7 linked regions of the Tribolium castaneum genome follow. The main gene of each other region encodes a partner of the protein of the gene in region 3 in a complex. Links are inferred from orthologs where the notes say so. Each region holds a gene or a part of one and is shown on either strand. Other genes may lie near its edges. The genes, in order: l(2)37Cb; cysteine-rich PDZ-binding protein; Bx42; SmD2; RNA-binding motif protein, X-linked 2; mdlc; Sf3b5.

Region 1 (3,270 bases), on a different chromosome or scaffold from region 3:
CAGCCGTACAAGTGCGAGCTCTGCGAAAAGGCCTATGTGCAGAGCAGCGCCCTGAGGACGCACATGAAAGGCCATGAAAAACAGTGAAGGTTTGGAGATTTTATAAATTTATTTATGAATAAATACTAGTCACAAGGGCTATATATTTTTATGCCCTTTTTTAATTGGTAAAACCAAAAAATAATTAGACGAGAAAAGCTATTTTATTATCGCCTTTCAGTATTTTCATCTCATTATGATTAGTTTATTATTTTCATTGTCTTTTTTTATAAAAACAAATTATTTCGATTTCGTAATTTTATTTACAAAAGTAAAGTATTTACACTTATATTTGTATATTGTATTATCACTAATACATTTTTATTTTTCTATAGTGTCTTTTGCATTTACAAGCAATTTATTTACTGTTCTATTGTTTGCATGAGAAGAAATAAGAATTTTTTCCAACAATACCAAACTGCTTTACTTCTTCAATTTTTTACATTATTATAATAAAAAGCTTTCGGTTCTAAAAAATCTTTATTCAGTTCTGGTGCTACGCCCGACAGTCTTTGGCATTTTTTTGTTGGTAGAATCCTCCAGTTCCTTCTGCTTGTAATAATGAGGTGCAACCTCCAAAAGCCACTTACTCTCGATTTCTATAACTTGTCTCATAAACTCTTTGGTGGTAAAAACCAGCTCGTGATAAAGAACCCATCTTGGCAAGTCCTCAAAAAGGGCACTATTGGGATGTATTGTGACACTCTGAAACAATTTCTCTCAGTACAAAGAAAACTATAATTTTTTTGGTGTTAAAACCTGATTATGTTTAACGGTTTTGTAAGTCCCTCCTTTGGATAACCGAGCAATGTGGTAGAAATAACCGGCGGTTATAGCCTTTTTAATGTCTGCAGCCTCGGTTATATTTGACACCATGTCGATTTCAACCCTTTGCATTAAACCGACCAACTGTTCCCTCACATCGCGAGCCCTTTTCATAGATCTACAACAAAATAAAGCACAATTATTTACGTATCTTCAACAACTAGATAACTTGAAATTTATATTTTTCTAATTTATATTTCTAATTTTTTTAAAGTACTGAAGATGAACCGGTTAGTTTGAAACATTTTCATTCTTTTTTCTTTATTTTATTTTTCTTTTATGGCAGATTTCAGAAAAAATAAGAGAAATCACCTGTATTGTATAAAATTCTCGTAGCACCATTGGGTGGAATAATCGGAATCCCTCCACTGGTTGTACACATTTAACAAGCTCAGATGGTCACCCCCTATGTGATTAAAATTTTTGCGTGCCGTGTCAGCATGAATAATTTTATCCTTGGGCCTGTAAAAAATCGCCCCATTGACCGAAAGCATGGCCGCAATAGTCACAATCTCCTCTGAACATTTGTATCTGCAAAAAGCAAACAGTAACAAACCCACACAAAAAGCCAAACTTACTTTTCCGAAGCTAACAACATTTTGGCCATCATCGGATCAACCGGAAACTCCGCCATCCTGCGCCCCAACTTCGTCAACTCCCCGTGATGGTTCAACGCCCCTAAAGCATACAACTGTTCCAGTGCCAGAACAAGTGTCTCATGTGGTGGCGGATCAAGAAAATCGAAATGCACCAAATCGTTAATCCCCAACGCTTTCAGCATCAGTACAGCGTTGCCTAAATTAATCCTTTGTATTTCCGGCACGGTATTGTCCTCCAGTTCATGCTTGTAGGACCAGGCGGTGTACAAACGAAAACACTTCCCGGCCGCCACTCTGCCAGCCCTCCCAGCCCTCTGATTAGCCGAGGCTTTCGAAATTGGCACCACAATCAGGCTCTCCATCCCAGTCCGCGAATTGAAGTGGTTTTGTTTGGCAAAACCGGGATCAATAACATAGATTATATTGTCTATCGTTAAAGAAGTCTCCGCTATATTTGTCGCAAGCACAACTTTCCGGGCCCCTGGAGGCGTCGGTTCAAAAATTTTCGCTTGCATGTCGCTTGGCAGGTTCGCATAAACGGGCAGAATAATCAGTTCCTTGACTTTGGAGCCCAACCGGCGAACCCGATCCTGCAACAACTCCTGACACGTCTCAATCTCATCCTGACCGGTCAAAAAAACAAGAATATCCCCTAACGGTTGAGTCGCGTGAATTTGTAGAACGGAAACAACGCACGCGTCCACATAATCGGCCTCTGGCGCCTTAGTGTAGTAAATATCCACCGGAAACCTCCGGCCTGGAATGCGGAAAATGGGCGCATCGTCGAAAAACTCGGAGAATTTTTGCGCGTCGAGCGTTGCGCTCGAAATCAGCAGTTTCAAGTCGGGGCGAAACCGGGCGATGTCTTTGACCAGACCGAACAAAATGTCCGTGTGTAGCGTCCGCTCGTGGGCCTCGTCGATGATCATGACGCTGTAGGACTGCAGGTCGGGCTCGGATAAAAATTCGCGGTGGAGCGTGCCGTCGGTCATGTATTTGATGATTGTACGTTCGGATGTGCAATCTTCGAATCTGATCGCATAACCGACTTCGTTGCCGAGTTTGACTTCCATTTCTTGGGCTACGCGGGCCGCTACCGACATGGCGGCGACACGGCGTGGCTGCGTACAGCCGATTTTTTTATTGTCGTTGGTGAAGCCGGCTTCGTGCAAGTACTGCGGGATTTGGGTTGTTTTTCCAGAGCCGGTTTCACCCTCGATTATTAGGACCTGGTGCTCGCGGACGGCCTGGATCAAGTCGTCGCGAAACGGGTAGACTGGGAGGTTTTTCTTCGTTTCTTGGATGTCGAGCTTCTTTTTTTCCTTTTCGGTTAGTTCGGGCTCTTTCTTCTCTCGTGTGCCTGTTTATTGATTATTTTGGTACAATTTTGCCAATTTAATACCTCACAGACTAGTTCTTATCTCATCGTTTTAAAATCCTAATACCCCTAAAAAATGTACCGGGTGCTCAAAAACCGGCGCACCAATTCAATGATGTGCGGTAGAGAAATGCTTAAATATAAAGGTAAAAATAGTAAAAAATTCTTTGTATTACAGTTATTGATAAATACCGAATTTTAAATAAATGATATGTGGCAACGTTGTCTAATAGTCGTGATCGCAATAGAATTTGTTCAACAATAAAAATTAATTATTTTTGAAACGGTTTCCTAGGAAATAATGCCCAATGTTGACACATCTACAAATTGTGATTTTTTGATTTATTTAATTTTTTTTAAATTCAGAAAACTGCTAAAGTCTGATAGTAAATTTAAAAATAATTAATCATTATTTTATTAAGAAACGAT
Region 2 (2,602 bases), on a different chromosome or scaffold from region 3:
TTACGTTGAATTTTTTTCCACACCATTCACACTTTGAGTTAGCAACAATTTTTTATGTATCTTTTGCACAAATCAACTTTTAAGCATTTGTTGTCTTAGAATGTTATAAGAAGTAATAAAAAAAAATGTTTGCACCGCACAAAATATATTAAAACATATTTTCTGAACTTACCTTTAAATTTTAATTTTAAATTTTTTTTTAGTTTTTTTTTTTGAAAACACGAATGTTCGGTAACTCAAAATATACTTTTTCAAATTATTGTGTATGTTATATCAAGTAGGTTGAGGAAGTCTAAATATTTAATTTAATTTAATGACCGGAACAACATTATTAATAACAAAAATCTTTTTTTCTATATTAATTACTTTGTTAATTTTAATGAATTCTTTTTCTACCTCAGAAGCTTGAGTACACGTATTTATTGGAAAGAATAATTATAGAACAGATTAAGATTCATAATTAATATAAAAAAGTATATTTTGCTGACAACTGCTAATTTGTAGAAAAGAATTGTAGAAAAATTTTGAAAAGAATTACATAGATAAAAAAAATTAAATATTTATTAGCAAACGCTGGAAACCAGACAGAAATGCCTAAGTTTGTTGTAGATTAAGTTTACAAAAATAATAATAATCTGAGTGATCAATGATTTTAAATCTAAGTTGGCCACAATAACTATCAAATCTAAACGTTAATTTTTGTACTCGATTTTTAAATTTCACCTACAATTTATAGTACCAATAATAAAAATAAGTGTTGCCAACTTAATTTCAAAATGTATTTTGCTCTGTTTTCCAGAACGGACAGATGATGATGATAGTGATGACGATGATAGCGAGATGGAGGATGCTTCTGACGAAGAATTGTCAATGGACGAAGATGAAGATTTCGATGAAGATGACCTTGAAATGAACGATGATGACAAAAGTATATTTTTTGTAATAATAAAACACAAAATTATCCTTTGCTTGCAGTGCTTCTGGGTGACTTAGACGACGATGAAGACGAGGAAGTTGTTTTTGACGATGAAGAACCGAAGTCAGCAAAATCAAAGAAGAAAAAATCCAAAGACACAAACTCAATATTTGCATCAGCTGAAGAATTTGCCTCATTGCTTGACGATGAAGGTAGTTCGAAAATAGCCCCAGGAAGTTCAAATGCGTTATCAAATAAGGATAATGCGAGCACTAAACAACTTGCCTGGGAACAGAGTAGAAATAGGTGGTTGAAGGGATTTGATGAAGTAGTTGGCAAAAAGAAAAATAGTAAAGGTAGCAATTTTGGCAAGAAAAGGAAAGGTCCAAATAAATTTAATAATAAGGCAAAGAAGAGGAAGAATTAATAATCGACAAGGAAGCAGTCGATTGCATTTTAATTAATATAATTCTTTACGAATCCACCAGTTTTGTGTTTTATTTAATTCGTGTTGGTTGTATTTCGCGAATATACAACTACACATAACCCATAACCTAACTTTTCGTGACGTTTAACAGTACGTTCTGTTTATTATCTTCGTGTTTACAATTTCGTACCAAATTCACAATAATTATCGTGTTTTGTGAAAATGGTGTGCGAAAAATGCCAAAAGAAGTTGGGCAAAGTGATAACACCAGATCCTTGGAAAAGTGGGGCTAGAAATACAACTGAGTCAGGGGGTAGGAAAGTTAACGAAAACAAGGCTTTAACAGCTAGCAAAAACAGATTTAATCCATACACGTCCAGTTTTGAGACTTGCAGGTTTGTTAATGCAAGTAATCCTTAAAATTGATTTACTCTTCTCATGTTTTTATTGTAGAATATGTAGGCAAAAGGTGCACCAGGTTGGGTCACATTATTGCCAGTCCTGTGCTTATAAAAAAGGAATTTGTGCGATGTGTGGTAAGAAATTGTTGAGTACGAAGAATTACAAACAATCGTCAACTTGAACTACATTTTGTGTGTTACTTTTAAACAAAATTAAGCCTATTCTAAGTTTTAGAGCAATTTGCATTGTTTTGTAGGTACTGTTAGGTTTTCTGTCTGTATACAGTGAGTGTACGACAATTTAATTATCTTGAATGATAAGGTGTGTAATTATATTTAATAACTTATGACAAAAGTTTTTTATTTCATTTTTATGATAACATTTTTAACTTATTAATTCATTTCTACCTATTCTATCCCTATTTCTTTTTTGTTATTAAGGTTGACTATACATTATTAAAACGCAACTATCAAATATTCTAGAATTATTATTTGGACTTTTTTATAAACTAAAAAACTGTACCTGTAATATTATTTCCACAAAGTTAAAATACGATTTTGTCTTATTGCACTAAAAAAATAATTGAAAAAATTGATGTCTGTCGTATTATTAAATACTTCTAAAAGTGGCTACACTGTATATAACCTTTTAGAAATGAATTTCAGCGATTGGATTTTAAAAATTCACTTCCCTGTATATAAAAAAAACGTGACGAAGTCGTAACAAAATTCAATGAATCAGACAAACCTCTTTGTTTTCCACCTTGCAGTAATTACTTATCTCAGTGATTATATTTTTTGTTGGTGACGTTTTATCCATACACTTACACAATACTGCCGTTTAATTTTATTCAGTTT
Region 3 (4,018 bases):
GCACTAGCTGAGGCCATTAACGACTTCAGTGGAGGGGTTATTATAGTGAGCCACGACGAACGACTTATACGGTAAGAGCAAATAAATGTACTCTTTCTTTTCTTTTTTCGCCTCCCTTTATAGAAATTTTATATTTTTCGTCCTAATTTCAGGCTGCGAAGTATGCGTTTACCAGCACTATTAGAAGTGAATTTAATTTTTAATTTGCATTAGCTACTTAATTTGTTCGTTAATTTAAATTAAGATGAAATTCCATCGAGTTTTTGTAACAATTTCGGCTCGACCATAAAACTCAATTTTATTGTTTTGTGTAAAAAAAAATTACTAATTTTGTTACAGTGAAACTGATTGCGCCTTGTACGTAATAGAAGACCAGACCATAAACGAATTAGACGGCGACTTCGACGACTACCGCAAAGAGCTCTTGGAGAGTCTGGGTGAAGTCATCAACAGCCCAAGTATTGCAGCAAACGCTGCCATTGCTCAATAATACAACAAAAAATTTCTACAATTGTATTTATTTAAAAAACCCAAATACAATCAATATTTTAATCTCTTCTCTTTCGCTTATCCCTCTCATCCCTCCTCTCCGGTTCCTTGCGTTTGCTCGCCCGTTTAGCCTGACTCAAGAACTGATCTAACCCGAACGGATCTTCCTCTTTCTCAAATTGTACAGGTCCAGACCTTGGCGCATTCCGATCAGTTCCACTAAACTCCTTATCCGGAACAAATCGGTTCGTTTTGACGATTTTCTCCAAATCTTCACCGTATACCTCCTTATCCACATTCCTACTAGGTCTGTACAAGTGATTGGCCATTGAGCCCCCCTCCCTCCACGGCTTATCATAAACATTATACGCGTCATCGTCCCCATATCCATGCCCCAAACCTTGAGCCTGTCCGAATAATCTCTGATCAAACTGCACCTCGTTTGAGGAGACTCCTCTGGCAGGCATCCCCAAAGCAATCTGCTCGGAAATATCTCGCTCTCGCTCCCTCTTCAACTTTGAACGCTTATCGGGAGCAGCCCTTGCCAAGTTTCTCTCTCTTGCTCGCTCCTTATGCCGGTCCTGTCTCAGCATTTCTCTCTCACGTTCCTCCTCATCTGTGATTTTAGCATCAGCGACTTTGATCCCAGCACGTTCATCTCGAGCTTTTTGAGCCAACTGTCTCAAATGCTCCTCCTTTTGTTCCTTTTCCTTCTGAGCTAGTTTTTTCTCGAGTTGGGCGCGTGTTTCCACAGCCTCTCGTGCTTTTCTATCGGCAATATATAGAGCCTCAGCCAACTTTGCGAAATTCTCGTTGATGTGCAACTGTTGCAACCCCCGACCATCTGCAGCTAAACGCTTATCTAACGGAACTGTGTAACCCTTTGCATTTTTCCAATTTGAAATACAGGGCGGGATTTTCCACTCCTTTTGCTCCTTAACAGTGACACGACGTGTGGGGCTGTGCAAAACGGGCGCTGGGGGCGAAGGGGGCCCCCTTGGGATCTTCTTATTGATCTTGAAACGTGGGGGCTCCATTGGATCAACTTGTGCTTCGACCAAACGAATGACGCGCTGTTTGGCACCCGAGTTGAAGGCGGCCCCTTGTTGTGAAGGGGTGTAACGAATAAATTCAGCGGGGCCTTGTTTTTCGGCACATCTGACTGGCATTGCAGCTGCGATTTTTGAATTTGTTAGGCGTTGTAATGCTTGACGGGTTTTTTCTGTGATATCTTCGATTTCCTCCTGAGATGGTTTAGCAAGACTTGGGTCATTTTCTGTGGTTACTTCAACTGGTAACAAATCGGAGAGTTTTGAATAGACGATTTTGTCTTTGCCGTGGCCTTGACGTGCGATTACGTCGTATTTGACTTTGCCTTCTGCGTCCAATTGGACGGCCAAGGCGTTTGAAGTTGATTCTTTGCCCTTTCGCCCCATGTCAAGAGGGTACTGGGCCACGTGGATTTCGGGAAATGCGCCTCCATCTATAAATTGCAATAAAATCAGTGATAGTGAAAACTTTTCGACGTCCTTGACTGATTATTTGTAATAAAATTTAATAGGACCAATCAAAAAAGTTGGTCCCATCGTAGTTAAATTTAATTACAAAAAATCGGTGGCTAATTACCTCCATAGTCGGTGTGGACTCGTGGGACCCAACCCCTTCTTTGTCCATACGGTGGGGCAATGCTTTGGGCTGTTACAACAGATGTGGAACGTTGAGTTGTGGCATTCTGTTGCCGTCTCTCGTCGTCCCGATCCCATACGGGTTGTATGGGGGCGGGCAATAAACTACAAAATAAATGCGTCTTACTCTACAAGCCCAAAAGTGAGGTTAGGTTACCTGGATAATTCCATTTCTTTTCCTAAATCAGCAAAAACTTGACAATAGCGTAAAATATTCACACTGCACTCATTAATGTAAGTTTTTATTGTTTTACTTCACTAGTAAATCGGAAAATATGTAAAAATCGATTGCACAACAGTGGCTTTCGGGAAAACAATTTCCGCAAAATCTTGATATTATATTATCGCTGTGCGATATTCAAAGCAATTTGTACTTAAAAAACGCAACTAAGTAATGGATTATTGTGTGTAATTCTGTTTTATAAATACACCCAAATTAACGCCACTACTAAAACGTCAAATAGACGGAATGATTTGTAGAGGGCGCGGTTGAGCATAGATTGTTTGTTCCGAAGTTCTATAAGTTCGAAAATACAGACTGATCCAGAAATACTGAGTCTGTTGGCAACACATTTGAAAGTGTTTGTGCTTGTAATTTGTAACATTGCAACCGAATTCGATTTTTCTTGACAACTATTTGACGTACAACCCCACAAGAATGTTAAATTGTTGTTAACTGGAAGCGTATTCCATTAGTATCCTTAAAAATTTAAGTCCAGTGTCGCCAACAGACTCAGTATTTCTGGATCAGTCTGTATTTTTAACGTGAGGGTATCCCCAAAAAAAAAGATGCACAACCACTCACAGACTTTTAGCTACTAGTTACTTCAACAAGCAGACCCTTTACTTACGTAGAATAAACAAAAAACAATAAATTTTTTAATATTTTTCCAAAAATTTAGAAAAACATTCATGTATCGTGCGGTTGCCATTGATAATTGGCAATAATTGGTGGTGTTTGTGAACTTCTAATTTTGAAAATGTACTTCTCCAACATATAAATAAGTGCCTTAGAGCACTAAAGTGAAATTTGAATTTTGGAACTAACACCATAACACACTGTAATTTTTAACCGCTGTAGAACTGTGTCTAGCACTAAATTGAACTAAAAACACTAAAACATATTCAACCGAAGGCTGTTTACTATTGAAATTCGCGCTTTTTTGGTGTTGGTACTTCTGTTACACTGTTACGTTGGTAGTGCTGCAATATCGGCGCGCCTTTTAGCACCTGTCATGTTTTGTAGTTTAGCATTATTTTTGTTTAACGCTGTTTTAGTGTTTAGTTTGTGTATTAGTAAGGATTTATGGTGTTAGTGGGTTTGTTTCTCGTTATTTAAAGACAATCTTATTCAGAGGAGGAACATTTGCAGGAATATTTCCACCCTTCTTTGGTAAGTGCACATTTTAGTTGAGTATTAATTATAGCTTTAATTTAAACATTTTGACGCTTCAAAAGGTGAAATAAAGCATTCTTATGCAGAAATTGTAAGGTGCGGTACTAATTTTAGTAACGTTTTTTGACTAACTATTCAGTACTCAGAGAAAGAAAATTAGTCTTAGCACAGACAGTACACGGTGTCTGTTTGCTCCATAATAACAAAAAAAAGGAACAATCGATGAAATAGTGTTTATTGTAGCAACTTAATATAGATATCACAATAATTTAATTTGATCATGAAAAAATTATTCCAACTTAAAAATATACTCCATTACTTCGGCCATGTACGGGTTTTCCCCCAACTTATCAACTTCATCTTGGGCCTCTTGCTTCAGTTCTGCCAACACTTTCTTCGTGTAATCAAAACTTCCGTATTTCTCAAGCAACGAAACGCAGTATTTCTT
Region 4 (2,224 bases), on a different chromosome or scaffold from region 3:
GAAGACTTTTAGTAAATTTGGCCTCCAACAAATTCAAGTGGACACGCATTACTTGCAGTTGTATTTGTGGCGATTTGTTGCGGATGAAAAGTACGTCACGAATTTGAATTTAGTGAAATTAATTGAATTTTCCAGCTTGGTTCATTTCCTCCTGGATGAGATTTTGGGATCAGCAGTCCACAGGTGCCTGGAACCGATTTTAATGGAACCAAGCGTTGTGGACATCATATGTGAAAGGGGTTAGGTCATGCAGCTTGCATAAGTTACAAATATTTATTATTCTTTTGTATTATCTTGTTTAAATAAAAAGGAGAAATTTTATCACATTTTGTTGTATTATTTTTATAGATAAATGTTAAAAAACCGTTCAATCTTTCATTTGCAACGACATGAATGTGATATTTCCACAGTATCACGTTCGCGGTATCAATCAACCGCAGAACAGAAGGACCACACGAGTGAAGTGATAGGTAAGTGAATTTCCTCAATAAACACTAAACTGAAGATACAAATTTTATTCCTAATTAACCACTAGCCGTAGCTAGGGGGTTCCTTACAACTATAATAACCGCATCGCCTCGCAGAAACATTTTCGAAATGAACCGATCCTTATTTACCGGCTTGGCTTTCTTCTTCCCCTTTCCAGGCCGGGGCAGCTCTGTCCACATTTCCTTCACATTCTCCAACACTATGTTGCAGTGCCGATCGAACGCCTTCACCCGCCCCAGCAATTTCTTGTTGTTTCGGCAGTTTATCAGCACCTGAGTGTTGTTCTTCACCGACTGAGTGAGCACCGAAAGGGGGCCCGTGTTGAACTCTTCCTCCTCGCGAGCCTGAAGCTCCTCGGCCGTCATTTCAGACTTGGGTTTCGTTAAAGCCATTCTGACTCGGTTTTTGCACTTAAAACAACACTTTTTCCGGCACAAAAATAGTTAGGTTAGGAATTTGAGCGTTTTGGATGCGTTTGGGGAATTTTGCAATGCGCATGCGCAAACTGGGTTTAATACTATGGCGGCAGATTCAAACATTTAAAGTGAAGAAAACAAACTTCGAATTAAATCAACAATTATTCTTCTCACATTTAAAGTTACATTAAGATTACTCTTTTGAATAATTAATTAAGAGTTTTAACATACTCAAAAACCACGATCTAAAAACTAATTACAAAATCGAGCAAATAAACCAATTTATAATCCATTGAGATGAAGACGTTAAATATAAGAGCAACAAGCTATTAATGAATCAGATAGGGGAATGCACCGTTTATTATAATTTAACTAGAAAATGTAATAAATATTGCAAATACGAGTATTGCAGTGCATTTTTCCAACGAAGGGAGTTTAATTCCCAGCAATTTGTTAGCCCCAGAATCGAAAATTAAATAATTACGATAAACAATAATCACTCTTTATTTATAGTAAGTATAACAATAAGAGATAACCAGTGCAAGTAATTATTCCAGCAGCGTGTTTATTTAAGTATACAAGCAATGCCAACGCAAATAATAATAGAATAATCATTAAAATGCAGTGAGGAGCCGATAAACCACCCCGTCCCGCTATATAAATTAAATACTTGAAGAAACGCACCAGAAGAAAGCCTCTTGTCCACCCGGTATTAAGTAGTTGCGCCGAAGGTGATGTTTTTGAAATCTCCTCGGTCTGGCTGCTTTATACCGCATGGATGAAAATCACCAAAAAAAGTCTGTTTTCTTGTCACACGTTGTCAGATTTAATAATTCTTAATTCGACTTCCTCATTTGCGGCGTTTCCTGTCGCCGCCCGTCTAAGGTCCCGCATTTGAGGCTTCGTTTTTCATGAGTTCGGTCTTCGTGTGCCTACCTTAATTCAATTAATCAATTGACCAGATGAATGGAATAAAGTTCATATGTTTGACATCGACGATGAACATATTTAAATCTCGTTAGGGGCCACTTCGGACTAAATAGGATAATAGCCGATGCTTACGGCTGCTTGCTGAATGCCTCTTGTGTCGAGATACACGCGCTGTATTCAATGATATTGTTTGTGTTGGGCAATTTTCTATTTTTGACGCAAGTGTTTATAAGAGTGGACTTTTGCTCAGGTAATTTTTGGGGAAATGTAGAGTAGTTCTATGTAGAGGAGTTTGATTTGGAAATGATTTTCCGGGCGTTTATACGCGAAAATTTTCCAAGCACTTGCTATTAGTGTTAATTTTGTAATGTTTTAGAGAGTAAAGGGGT
Region 5 (2,795 bases), on a different chromosome or scaffold from region 3:
TCATTGGTCAAAGAAGCTTTGCACTGGTCACTTGACTAAACATTTTTTTCAGTATATTGATGATAAACCGGGCGATTTCGTGGACGTTGACACTGCGAAAGTCGTGGGTCAACACAATGGGGTGCACCAGTGGACTTTGGGGCAAAGGGCGCGCCTCCACAGCTACGAAAGCCCTTATTTCGTGGCCCGGAAAGACGTAGACAAGAACATAATTTACGTAGTCAAAGGGACAAAACACCCGTTACTTTACACGAACATAATTTTGACCAGTGAGCCCCACTGGATCCACTCACAGCCCCCTGATTTACAAAACGGGGTTTTGGAGTGCGATTTCAAGTTCCAACACACCAAATATTGGGTCAAATGCCAGGTGTGCCAAACAAGTAAAGGACTGATTATTAAAGTGAATAGGTACAAGAGGGCCATCACTCCGGGACAGTTCGCTGTCTTGTCGAAAGATGGCGAGTGTCTCGGAGGGGCTCGAATAATTAACACGGGAGTTTCACACTTCTCGCTATATTATTTGGAGAATAATGGTCTAGGGAGTGTCTCCCACATTTTGAAAAAATATGTCAATGTGACGCAAGGTGAAGACGAGCTTACTGATAATGAAGATATGAAGCACAGAGCTGTAAATAGATGTTAGTAAATCAGCGCTTTTTCTTATTCGGACTCCGCGACCGCTTCCTCCTATCCTCGTCCTCTGACACGCTGTCTTCAGCGGAGTAATCCGACCCTGACTCGCCCTTCTTCTTCTTTTTCTTCTTCCTATCTGAATCGGATTCGCTGCTGTTTTCGTCCGACTTCTTTTTCTTCTTCTTCTTTTTCTCCTTCTTGTGTTTCTTTTCCTTCTTCTCTTTCGTGACAACAGGCTCCGGCGGCGCCTCCTCGTCCACTTTCTCCTTTTTTATCGTGTAAATGGGCAAGCGCTCAGGCAACTTGATCTCAGAATTAATCTGGTCGGCCAGTGTTTCGCGAAAATCGTCAGGGTCTGTTTTAATCTTCACTGGCGCTTTGACAGGAACTTGCACAGGGACGGCCTTGGGGGCACAGCCCTCATCGTACAGTTTCTTCGTCTCAGCGTCCGTTTTCTTGCCCTGTTTGGGCACCTTGTAGTTACTGACGTGGTCGACTCGTATCGTCCTGTTCAAGATTTTGATTCCGTTGAAATTATCAACGGCCAAGTCGGTCGATCTTTGGTCCTCGTAGCACAGGAAACAGAAGCCCTTTGACTTGCCCGAGTCCTTATCCCTGATCAGGTTTATGTTCACCACTTCGCCATACTGCGAGAAAATGCAAATTATGTCGCCCTCGGTCAGGTCGAAGGGCAAACCGCCGATGAAAACCCACGCACTGTCCCTGTATTGGTCATGCCAGGAGGTTTTATTACCGGTGTAGAGCTCCTGTTCGCTCAGTTTCTTCACATTTTTCATGTTCCTGGAAAGACAACTTCGCAAAATTGGGGCAAAAAATCGACAATACTTACGTTAACGGATTCATGGTGCGTGATTGTGGGGCCTCTGACCCCGAAAAACATGAACAAATACAAATAAAACAAATGTTCAAAAAATAGGTTAGGTATTTGACGTACGTTTGACGTTTGTGTTAATTGCGTTAAGGTGCATTCACACCGCGGCTGGAACTATTAAGGCGACTTCACATCGGTTTGTAAATTTATTGCCGTTTAAAAACATATCACAGGTGCATATGAGATCATAAAACGTATAAATAGAAACGATACAACTTATAATAAAATTGATTGTGCTATCCGCCCACTTCCTCACTCCTTAAATTGGCAAGTAGCTCGATTAAATTGGCAATTTTCAACGCCAACTCTTTGCTTTCCGCTTGCAGGGCGACAACGCGTCGATCGGCATCACTGTCACTCCCGCTCTTTTGTTTTTCCAGCTCACTTTCGACTTTTTCGATTAGAGCATCCATGGCTTCAAGCCCCGTTGTCAGATTTAACATCTTCAAATGTTTGCGGGGCTCTTCACTACTCCGCACAAAATTGATTTCGTTCGATAATTGTTCCTGTTGTTGATCAACTGATAGTTTTGTACTTGTGACAACTTCATCAGTGTTTAGTAACTTTTCGATTTTGTACTTGTTTTTCAAAAGTTCGGCATAGTGGAAGAGGAGTTCGTCCTCGGTCTTGGTCAAGGCGTAACCTTTCTCGCCTTTTCGGAACCTGACATCGTCCATAATCGACGATAGGTATTTTCGGCGGCTTTTCAATTGCTGTTCCTTCGCTATTTGGTGTCTTAAGGAGGCCAAAATTTTGTCTTCTTGGTGGAATTTTTCGCGCAGGTTGGCCACCCTTTCGTAGTACTCCTGGACACGGGTTTGCTCCTCCAACAATTGATTACGAATCGCGCGTTCCATTTCTGACAATTTATTTAATTAAAACCCCAAAAAATGTACAAAAACTTACCCAAAATTCGCTTATTCTCTTCTTCCTCCACTTCGAAATTTTGCAACCGCTCCAAACTAATCAATCGGCGTCTGAACAAATCAACCTCGTCTGTTTTCAACCCCGCCATCTCTCTCTTCATCTCGGCCTCTTTATCCGACATCTCGATCATGGTTTTGGGGTAATCACAAAAATTGGGGTATTCCCCCAAATTAATTTTCTTGAACATGTTCAAATATTGCCGTGGGTGCACGGCCTCGCCCGTCTTGGCCAAAATGTGGTAACTTTTCGTTAGCAATTTTTTAACATCTATGGGATGATGCGTTTTGTAAAAACACCGAAATTGTTTATCGTCTTTAAGACTCAAAATGGAGGTTCGTTG
Region 6 (3,239 bases), on a different chromosome or scaffold from region 3:
AATATCATCGTTTCACCGTACGGTTTTTATTTAACTGTTGTGTCACATAAAAATCTTATTAACATAATGCATTACCACACAATACTGTGATAACTCGGTGATTAGAAAAACAATTAACGGTGATTAGGAACCAATTGGATTCCTTACCAGTAAGGGCCTTAACTTCATCCATGAAAGTCACTACGAAAATCACAAAAACAGCACAAACATTTTTTAGTGATACCATCTTGGTATTCTCGCAACTTTTGCACAAATGAGAGATGAACTTTATATTTCTTGTACAATATATATTACAGTTATAATGGCAAGGTAGCAGCTTTCTCTTTCGCGCGCGCGTTTTTGGTACTTTTGAGACAGAGAAAGATACAATGAATGTGTCCAGTTGGGGGTTACCCGCTTGACTGTTACTATACCTTTCACTCAGAAGCCGCACCTCACTAAGAAGTAGCGTCTTCTCTGTCTCACTCGCCTCTTCACGTGTGGGATTGGAATAAAACCAGTTCAATTTTTTATTTGTTTATTTATTACACAATTTACAAAAACATTAATCGGAATCCGAATCTGAGTCATTCTTTTTCTTAGGATTATCCTCTCGATTCAGCCGCGCTATGAGTTTCCGCGCGGGGTTGAAAACGCCACTCGTTTGCGTGTTGCAGACGAAGCACCTCGTCGTCTTCTTGTACCTCTCGAGGGCGCACTTCTCGCAAAAGTAGTGTTTGCACCTAAAATTAACTGTAATAAAGACTCGTAAAAGGTGCCTCCTACTTTGTGACAATCGGGTCCACGAAGCTGTCCCTGCAAACGACGCATTTGAACGGCAAATCCTCTTCGTCCGAGTCAATCTCGTATTGTTTATCCTCGTCGCTTTCTTGCCCATATTTGCCTTCCGCCCATTCCCGCTCAAGCTGCCAGCCGTGTTTGTAGTCACTCCTGTCGTGCAAAAATTTACAACTGTCCCCGAAACCGCAAAAGCCTGTTTCTTTGTAGTCCTTGCAAATGTCGGGTTGGTAGTCCCACCGGACGGTGGCACGCAGGTTTGCGGGGGCTCTGATGGGGCCCTTCCTGACCATTCCCGAACTGGCGTTGCCCGCAGCCGTGTCTTTGGGCTTGTAGTACTGTGCGTAGTTGTTGATGCCTCTGTAGACTTTATCGTCTTCCTTGCCCTCAAGATTTTTATTAATTTCTAGCCGCTTCTCGAAAATGGCTTGGGCGTCACGATCGCGCTCAGTTTCAAACTCCTTTAATTAAATAATTATTGATTGGATAATACTAGTGAGTGGTTAAGTGGCTTACAAGAGTCGCCGTCGCTCCCTGATCTTGAGGTCCCTCAGGCATAGCGGACCGTTTGGACTTGTAACTAACCATAATTTCCTCCTCACTGCTTGAGTAGTTCTGCTGCTCATGTTCTTTTTGTTTGGCTTTGCTTGTGGTTTGGAAGTTGGGGTTTGCTTTTCCCCGACGCCGGTTCGCCCGCTTCACCGCAGATTCGTCCTCACTGTTGGACTTTTCTGAAGAAATCGCAAACAAACATAACCTTTAAAACACGAAAACTAAGTCTACAACAACAGTGAAGGTTAATTCACGGATTTGGGGTACCCACCTCCTTCCGAACTGGATTTCTGGCGCTTCCGCGCCCCTTTATTTTTTATATTCCGTTTTTTAAATATAAAAGTGCAACTTTCATCAAGTCCTGTTTTAACGTCACGCGGATCATCCATCTTTGACAAGTGTCAAGTGTCAGTGCTGACGCCAAACAAAATATCAAAAATTTCAAAACTCAATAACGCCTTTGTGGTGTTAGACTTGAGCCAAAGCAATTTAATCTAATTTGAATTTGTAATTACACGTTTTCCTAGTGCGTCATAATGGTAATAGCAAGTGCTTGAATGTTAATTGCTTTCGCGGTTCTGTTGGTAGTTATGGGTGACGGTTCCTGATTGGCTAAATTTGAAAGTGCGTTGACGTTTGGCATCCATCTGCATCGTAACGAATTTTCTACAAATCAATTAAAGTAGAATTAGGATAATTTATTAGTGAACGTGGTAAAAATGGCCCAAAATTTCAATCCGTTCGTGGAGCAAGTGCCCGAGAACGTAAAGCAGGCCGAAAGTTCCAAGAAGGTATCGAACGATAATCACGCAGTGACAAAAAGGTGGGCAAAAAGTGAGTCTAAATTGGGGTGCTAATCTTTGTTCGATTTGCAGATTGCACAAAGAGCTTATGACTTTGATGATGTCCGAAGACAAGAGCATCTCGGCGTTTCCCGAGGGCGACAACCTGTTCAAGTGGGTAGGTACCATAATGGGGCCCAAAGACACGGTTTATGAGAGTTTAAAATATAAACTAAGTTTACAATTCCCGAACTCGTACCCCTACGCGGCCCCCGTAGTAAAATTCATCACGCCTTGCTTTCACCCCAACGTCGACACCAGTGGGAACATCTGCTTAGATATTTTAAAAGAGAAGTGGTCGGCGCTTTATGACGTTAGAACAATTTTGTTATCAATTCAGGCCTTGTTAGGGGAACCAAACACGAGGAGTCCGCTGAACACGACGGCCGCCGACAAGTGGAAGAAAAAAGAAGAGTACAAAAAGCTGGTGTTAGAGTCGTACAAGGAAGTCTAAATTTGATCTCGCATTAGAAAAATTTCAGTTATTTAAGATGTCATTGTGTAATAATAGACTGCGTACATATTTGTGTTATATAATTTTTACTATTTCTCGTGTGTTATGATTGAATAAAACGATCAAGTTTCAATAATTTATTTACATAAATAAATATTTGGCTTAGCGAATAAAAATACGTTATCACGACTAGGATTTCACGATAATCAAGGTAAAAAATAAAATAATTGTGGTTACAGCCAATACAAGGATCGCGCACATCTTGCGGTTTTTCCGCTGATAAGCGTCTGCCTTTTGCAGCTGTTTGAAGCCTTCGTAGACCTGGATCTGCGTCTGTTCCACGTTGTAGTCAATTCTGTCCAGAACTGTCCCCTGGTCGGCGACCATCTGACTGAGATCTTTGAAAATTTCGTTCAAGTCAACAATGGACTTAACAATTGCGTTCACTTCTTGCTCCCGCTCTTGCGCGAACCGCGTGTTTTCCTCCTCCAGCAACAGCAGTTGTTGCTGGCTCATCTGCTTGGAATTAACGAAGTAGGTATCAATGTCATCCGCCTCCCTGTTGTACAAATCCTCGTCTTCGAGTTGGTTATCAAAGTAGATTTTTGCGCGGT
Region 7 (2,116 bases), on a different chromosome or scaffold from region 3:
CCAAAAAACATTTAATTTAATGCTCCGTTAAATTCGATTATGAAAGTGGGCCTACATTTTCGATGGCAAGAAATAAAAGCACAAAAATTATCATAAACAATATTAAAAAAAGCAAACTTTCACCATATTTTTTAAAACGCTGCAAATATGGTTGAAAAAAGTGTATAGAATGCTTTTTTCCGAGAAAGTCTGCCATATCATATTTCTATCATTAACCATTTATTAGGTTTAAACAAATTTAGCGTGAGCGGCTGAAATATGGCCTCAAGAATTTTTTTCCACAAAAAAATGTCTGTTAGCTGTTTCAAATTTATAAAAACGCCAACGTTGCATTTTACCGATTTTATTTTTAAATAAGATTGATAAAAATATGAAATAGTTATTATTGATTAAATCTCTTATTGAAACTATAAATTACATTAGTTATTATTTTTTTGAAGTGCATGAATAATTTATAATAGCTAATTTTGAGAGAAAATGCGACGTTAGCGTTTTTATAGTTTTGAGACAGCTAATAATATACGTATTTTTCCCCATTTTTTCAGTTCGTCTCCTTTTTTCTCAAAACAGTTAAAAACTGACCAAATAAACACATAATGTCTATATACGTAAAAAATTACTAAGTATAAAAACTAGCATAACATAATATAATAATAAATAATAGTATATTTAAAAACAAGTTTTCTATGGGATGAGTGCGCCAAAACCCTTATAAAACGAGAATGTTTTTATGATTTTTTCTTATTTTAATTAAATTTTTTTGTCGTCTAGGGAATTTCGTGTCAGTTGGTGACGGTAATAAATAATAAATAAAGAAGAAATGATGATTAAATCGATCGTACGTGTATTCCACGCATTATCGATGAAACTCTTGAAAACTAAATATCCCTAAATTCATTAAAGTACACTGTACTTTAATAGCCATAAACGACTCCTACTGATATATGTTAATACACGTGTATTATAAACGAAAAATATAATATAATAATAGAGAGACTGACCACTATCCTGTTACACTACAAAACGAAGGATTTTTAAGGCTCATATTTACAATTGCGCGTTATTCAAGTGAAAATAGTATAGCATTTTTGGTGGCACCTAAAGAAAATTTCAGAAATACAACACACCCTGTATAATAAATGTTAGCGAGAGGAATAAAAACCTAGGGACTTTTTTGCTGCCGAACAACAGTGGCAACCCTAACATTTAACACTAATGAGTAGTGAGTTGAGTTCGAGGTTAGGTGAACTTAGGAGCATCAAAACAAAAGTGTGTTTCTTCTTTGTGTGTCTCTATTTCGTAATTTACTGCAATTTGTAAAAGTAATGGGCGACCGCTACAACATCCACAGCCAGTTGGAGCATCTCCAATCGAAATATATCGGAACAGGCCACTCTGAAATAACGAAATACGAATGGCTGCTGAACCAGCATAGAGACAGTTACGCCAGTTATTTGGGGCACCACGATTTGTTAAATTATTTTGCGATTTGTGAGAACGAGGCAAAAGCCCGAGTTAGGTTTAATCTAATGGAGAAAATGCTTCAACCGTGTGGTCCACCTCCAGATAAACCCGAGGATTAGATTATAGTAAAGTCAATAAAAATTTTCATATAATCGTTGTTTTTTTTAAAAGACCATTTTAGAATTCTTCCGATAACTAAAATAATTGTAGCCGAAAGGTCTACTTTGTATTTCATTTCGCCTTTATTAGAATAGAATACCTACTTTATTTGTGTCAATACTAATTGCACTAATAGAGTATTCCACACACGCCGCAAAATTAACTTACATTTAAATAGGTATTACTGTATTACATAGGCAAGATATCACTAAAATCATTCCGAAGATATGTATTCCTTAATCGAATAAAAAGTTTTGGAAATTAAATAGTGTTTCAAGTTCTTTAATAAAAACATGGAGGAAAATTTCTAAAGGTAGTGGAAGGGCATTTAAAAATGTATTTATTTATTACCCTTATTAGGAATATAATTTTTTCTAGTACAATAATTTATGACTTTAAGAGAATATTCTTAGCTTTAGTTCGCTGCATTTTTATAAAAAAAAAACAGATTTTCAATATATTTATTTTTTATTTACCAATTATAGTGACAATA

What was found.
Region 1: Bx42 (region 3) and l(2)37Cb share a complex: the UniProt entries of both Homo sapiens proteins name them as parts of the minor spliceosome. The link is inferred for Tribolium castaneum from reciprocal best matches to the Homo sapiens genes SNW1 and DHX16.
Region 2: Bx42 (region 3) and cysteine-rich PDZ-binding protein share a complex: the UniProt entries of both Homo sapiens proteins name them as parts of the minor spliceosome. The link is inferred for Tribolium castaneum from reciprocal best matches to the Homo sapiens genes SNW1 and CRIPT.
Region 4: Bx42 (region 3) and SmD2 share a complex: the UniProt entries of both Homo sapiens proteins name them as parts of the minor spliceosome. The link is inferred for Tribolium castaneum from reciprocal best matches to the Homo sapiens genes SNW1 and SNRPD2.
Region 5: Bx42 (region 3) and RNA-binding motif protein, X-linked 2 share a complex: the UniProt entries of both Homo sapiens proteins name them as parts of the minor spliceosome. The link is inferred for Tribolium castaneum from reciprocal best matches to the Homo sapiens genes SNW1 and RBMX2.
Region 6: Bx42 (region 3) and mdlc share a complex: the UniProt entries of both Homo sapiens proteins name them as parts of the minor spliceosome. The link is inferred for Tribolium castaneum from reciprocal best matches to the Homo sapiens genes SNW1 and RNF113A.
Region 7: Bx42 (region 3) and Sf3b5 share a complex: the UniProt entries of both Homo sapiens proteins name them as parts of the minor spliceosome. The link is inferred for Tribolium castaneum from reciprocal best matches to the Homo sapiens genes SNW1 and SF3B5.

Annotation. Positions count from the first base shown.
Region 1 is NC_087398.1:7,194,517-7,197,786, reverse strand, and holds the end of l(2)37Cb (pre-mRNA-splicing factor ATP-dependent RNA helicase DHX16), read right to left. Parts: intron 2,824-3,270; coding exon 1,443-2,823; intron 1,396-1,442; coding exon 1,177-1,395; intron 983-1,176; coding exon 799-982; intron 745-798; coding exon 520-744; 3' UTR 501-519; downstream 1-500. Other genes in the region: zinc finger protein OZF, read left to right, coding at 1-87. UniProt on the Homo sapiens protein: Required for pre-mRNA splicing as a component of the spliceosome. Contributes to pre-mRNA splicing after spliceosome formation and prior to the first transesterification reaction.
Region 2 is NC_087394.1:8,405,448-8,408,049, forward strand, and holds cysteine-rich PDZ-binding protein, read left to right. Parts: upstream 1-1,448; 5' UTR 1,449-1,565; coding exon 1,566-1,738; intron 1,739-1,796; coding exon 1,797-1,926; 3' UTR 1,927-2,102; downstream 2,103-2,602. Other genes in the region: Noc1 (CCAAT/enhancer-binding protein zeta), read left to right, coding at 800-928, 976-1,343. UniProt on the Homo sapiens protein: As a component of the minor spliceosome, involved in the splicing of U12-type introns in pre-mRNAs. Involved in the cytoskeletal anchoring of DLG4 in excitatory synapses.
Region 3 is NC_087397.1:9,848,808-9,852,825, forward strand, and holds Bx42 (puff-specific protein Bx42), read right to left. Parts: upstream 2,654-4,018; 5' UTR 2,346-2,653; coding exon 2,332-2,345; intron 2,280-2,331; coding exon 2,116-2,279; intron 1,973-2,115; coding exon 549-1,972; 3' UTR 501-548; downstream 1-500. Other genes in the region: ATP-binding cassette sub-family F member 1, read left to right, coding at 1-71, 340-490; qm (terpene synthase), read right to left, coding at 3,860-4,018. UniProt on the Homo sapiens protein: Involved in pre-mRNA splicing as component of the spliceosome. As a component of the minor spliceosome, involved in the splicing of U12-type introns in pre-mRNAs.
Region 4 is NC_087395.1:17,190,837-17,193,060, forward strand, and holds SmD2 (probable small nuclear ribonucleoprotein Sm D2), read right to left. Parts: upstream 982-2,224; 5' UTR 882-981; coding exon 525-881; 3' UTR 501-524; downstream 1-500. Other genes in the region: Vps51 (vacuolar protein sorting-associated protein 51 homolog), read left to right, coding at 1-90, 136-244; serine-rich adhesin for platelets, read right to left, coding at 1,742-1,837. UniProt on the Homo sapiens protein: Plays a role in pre-mRNA splicing as a core component of the spliceosomal U1, U2, U4 and U5 small nuclear ribonucleoproteins (snRNPs), the building blocks of the spliceosome.
Region 5 is NC_087396.1:22,565,046-22,567,840, forward strand, and holds RNA-binding motif protein, X-linked 2, read right to left. Parts: upstream 1,640-2,795; 5' UTR 1,501-1,639; coding exon 1,487-1,500; intron 1,438-1,486; coding exon 651-1,437; 3' UTR 647-650; downstream 1-646. Other genes in the region: mitochondrial tRNA-specific 2-thiouridylase 1, read left to right, coding at 53-646; TBC1 domain family member 31, read right to left, coding at 1,765-2,387, 2,435-2,795. UniProt on the Homo sapiens protein: Involved in pre-mRNA splicing as component of the activated spliceosome. As a component of the minor spliceosome, involved in the splicing of U12-type introns in pre-mRNAs.
Region 6 is NC_087396.1:11,857,593-11,860,831, reverse strand, and holds mdlc (E3 ubiquitin-protein ligase RNF113A), read right to left. Parts: upstream 1,741-3,239; 5' UTR 1,719-1,740; coding exon 1,601-1,718; intron 1,509-1,600; coding exon 1,294-1,508; intron 1,239-1,293; coding exon 766-1,238; intron 723-765; coding exon 545-722; 3' UTR 501-544; downstream 1-500. Other genes in the region: probable chitinase 2, read right to left, coding at 148-226; vih (ubiquitin-conjugating enzyme E2 C), read left to right, coding at 2,049-2,152, 2,205-2,625; Syx16 (syntaxin-16), read right to left, coding at 2,815-3,239. UniProt on the Homo sapiens protein: Required for pre-mRNA splicing as component of the spliceosome. As a component of the minor spliceosome, involved in the splicing of U12-type introns in pre-mRNAs. E3 ubiquitin-protein ligase that catalyzes the transfer of ubiquitin onto target proteins.
Region 7 is NC_087396.1:17,670,081-17,672,196, forward strand, and holds Sf3b5 (splicing factor 3B subunit 5), read left to right. Parts: upstream 1-1,145; 5' UTR 1,146-1,269; intron 1,270-1,323; 5' UTR 1,324-1,325; coding exon 1,326-1,583; 3' UTR 1,584-1,616; downstream 1,617-2,116. UniProt on the Homo sapiens protein: Component of the 17S U2 SnRNP complex of the spliceosome, a large ribonucleoprotein complex that removes introns from transcribed pre-mRNAs.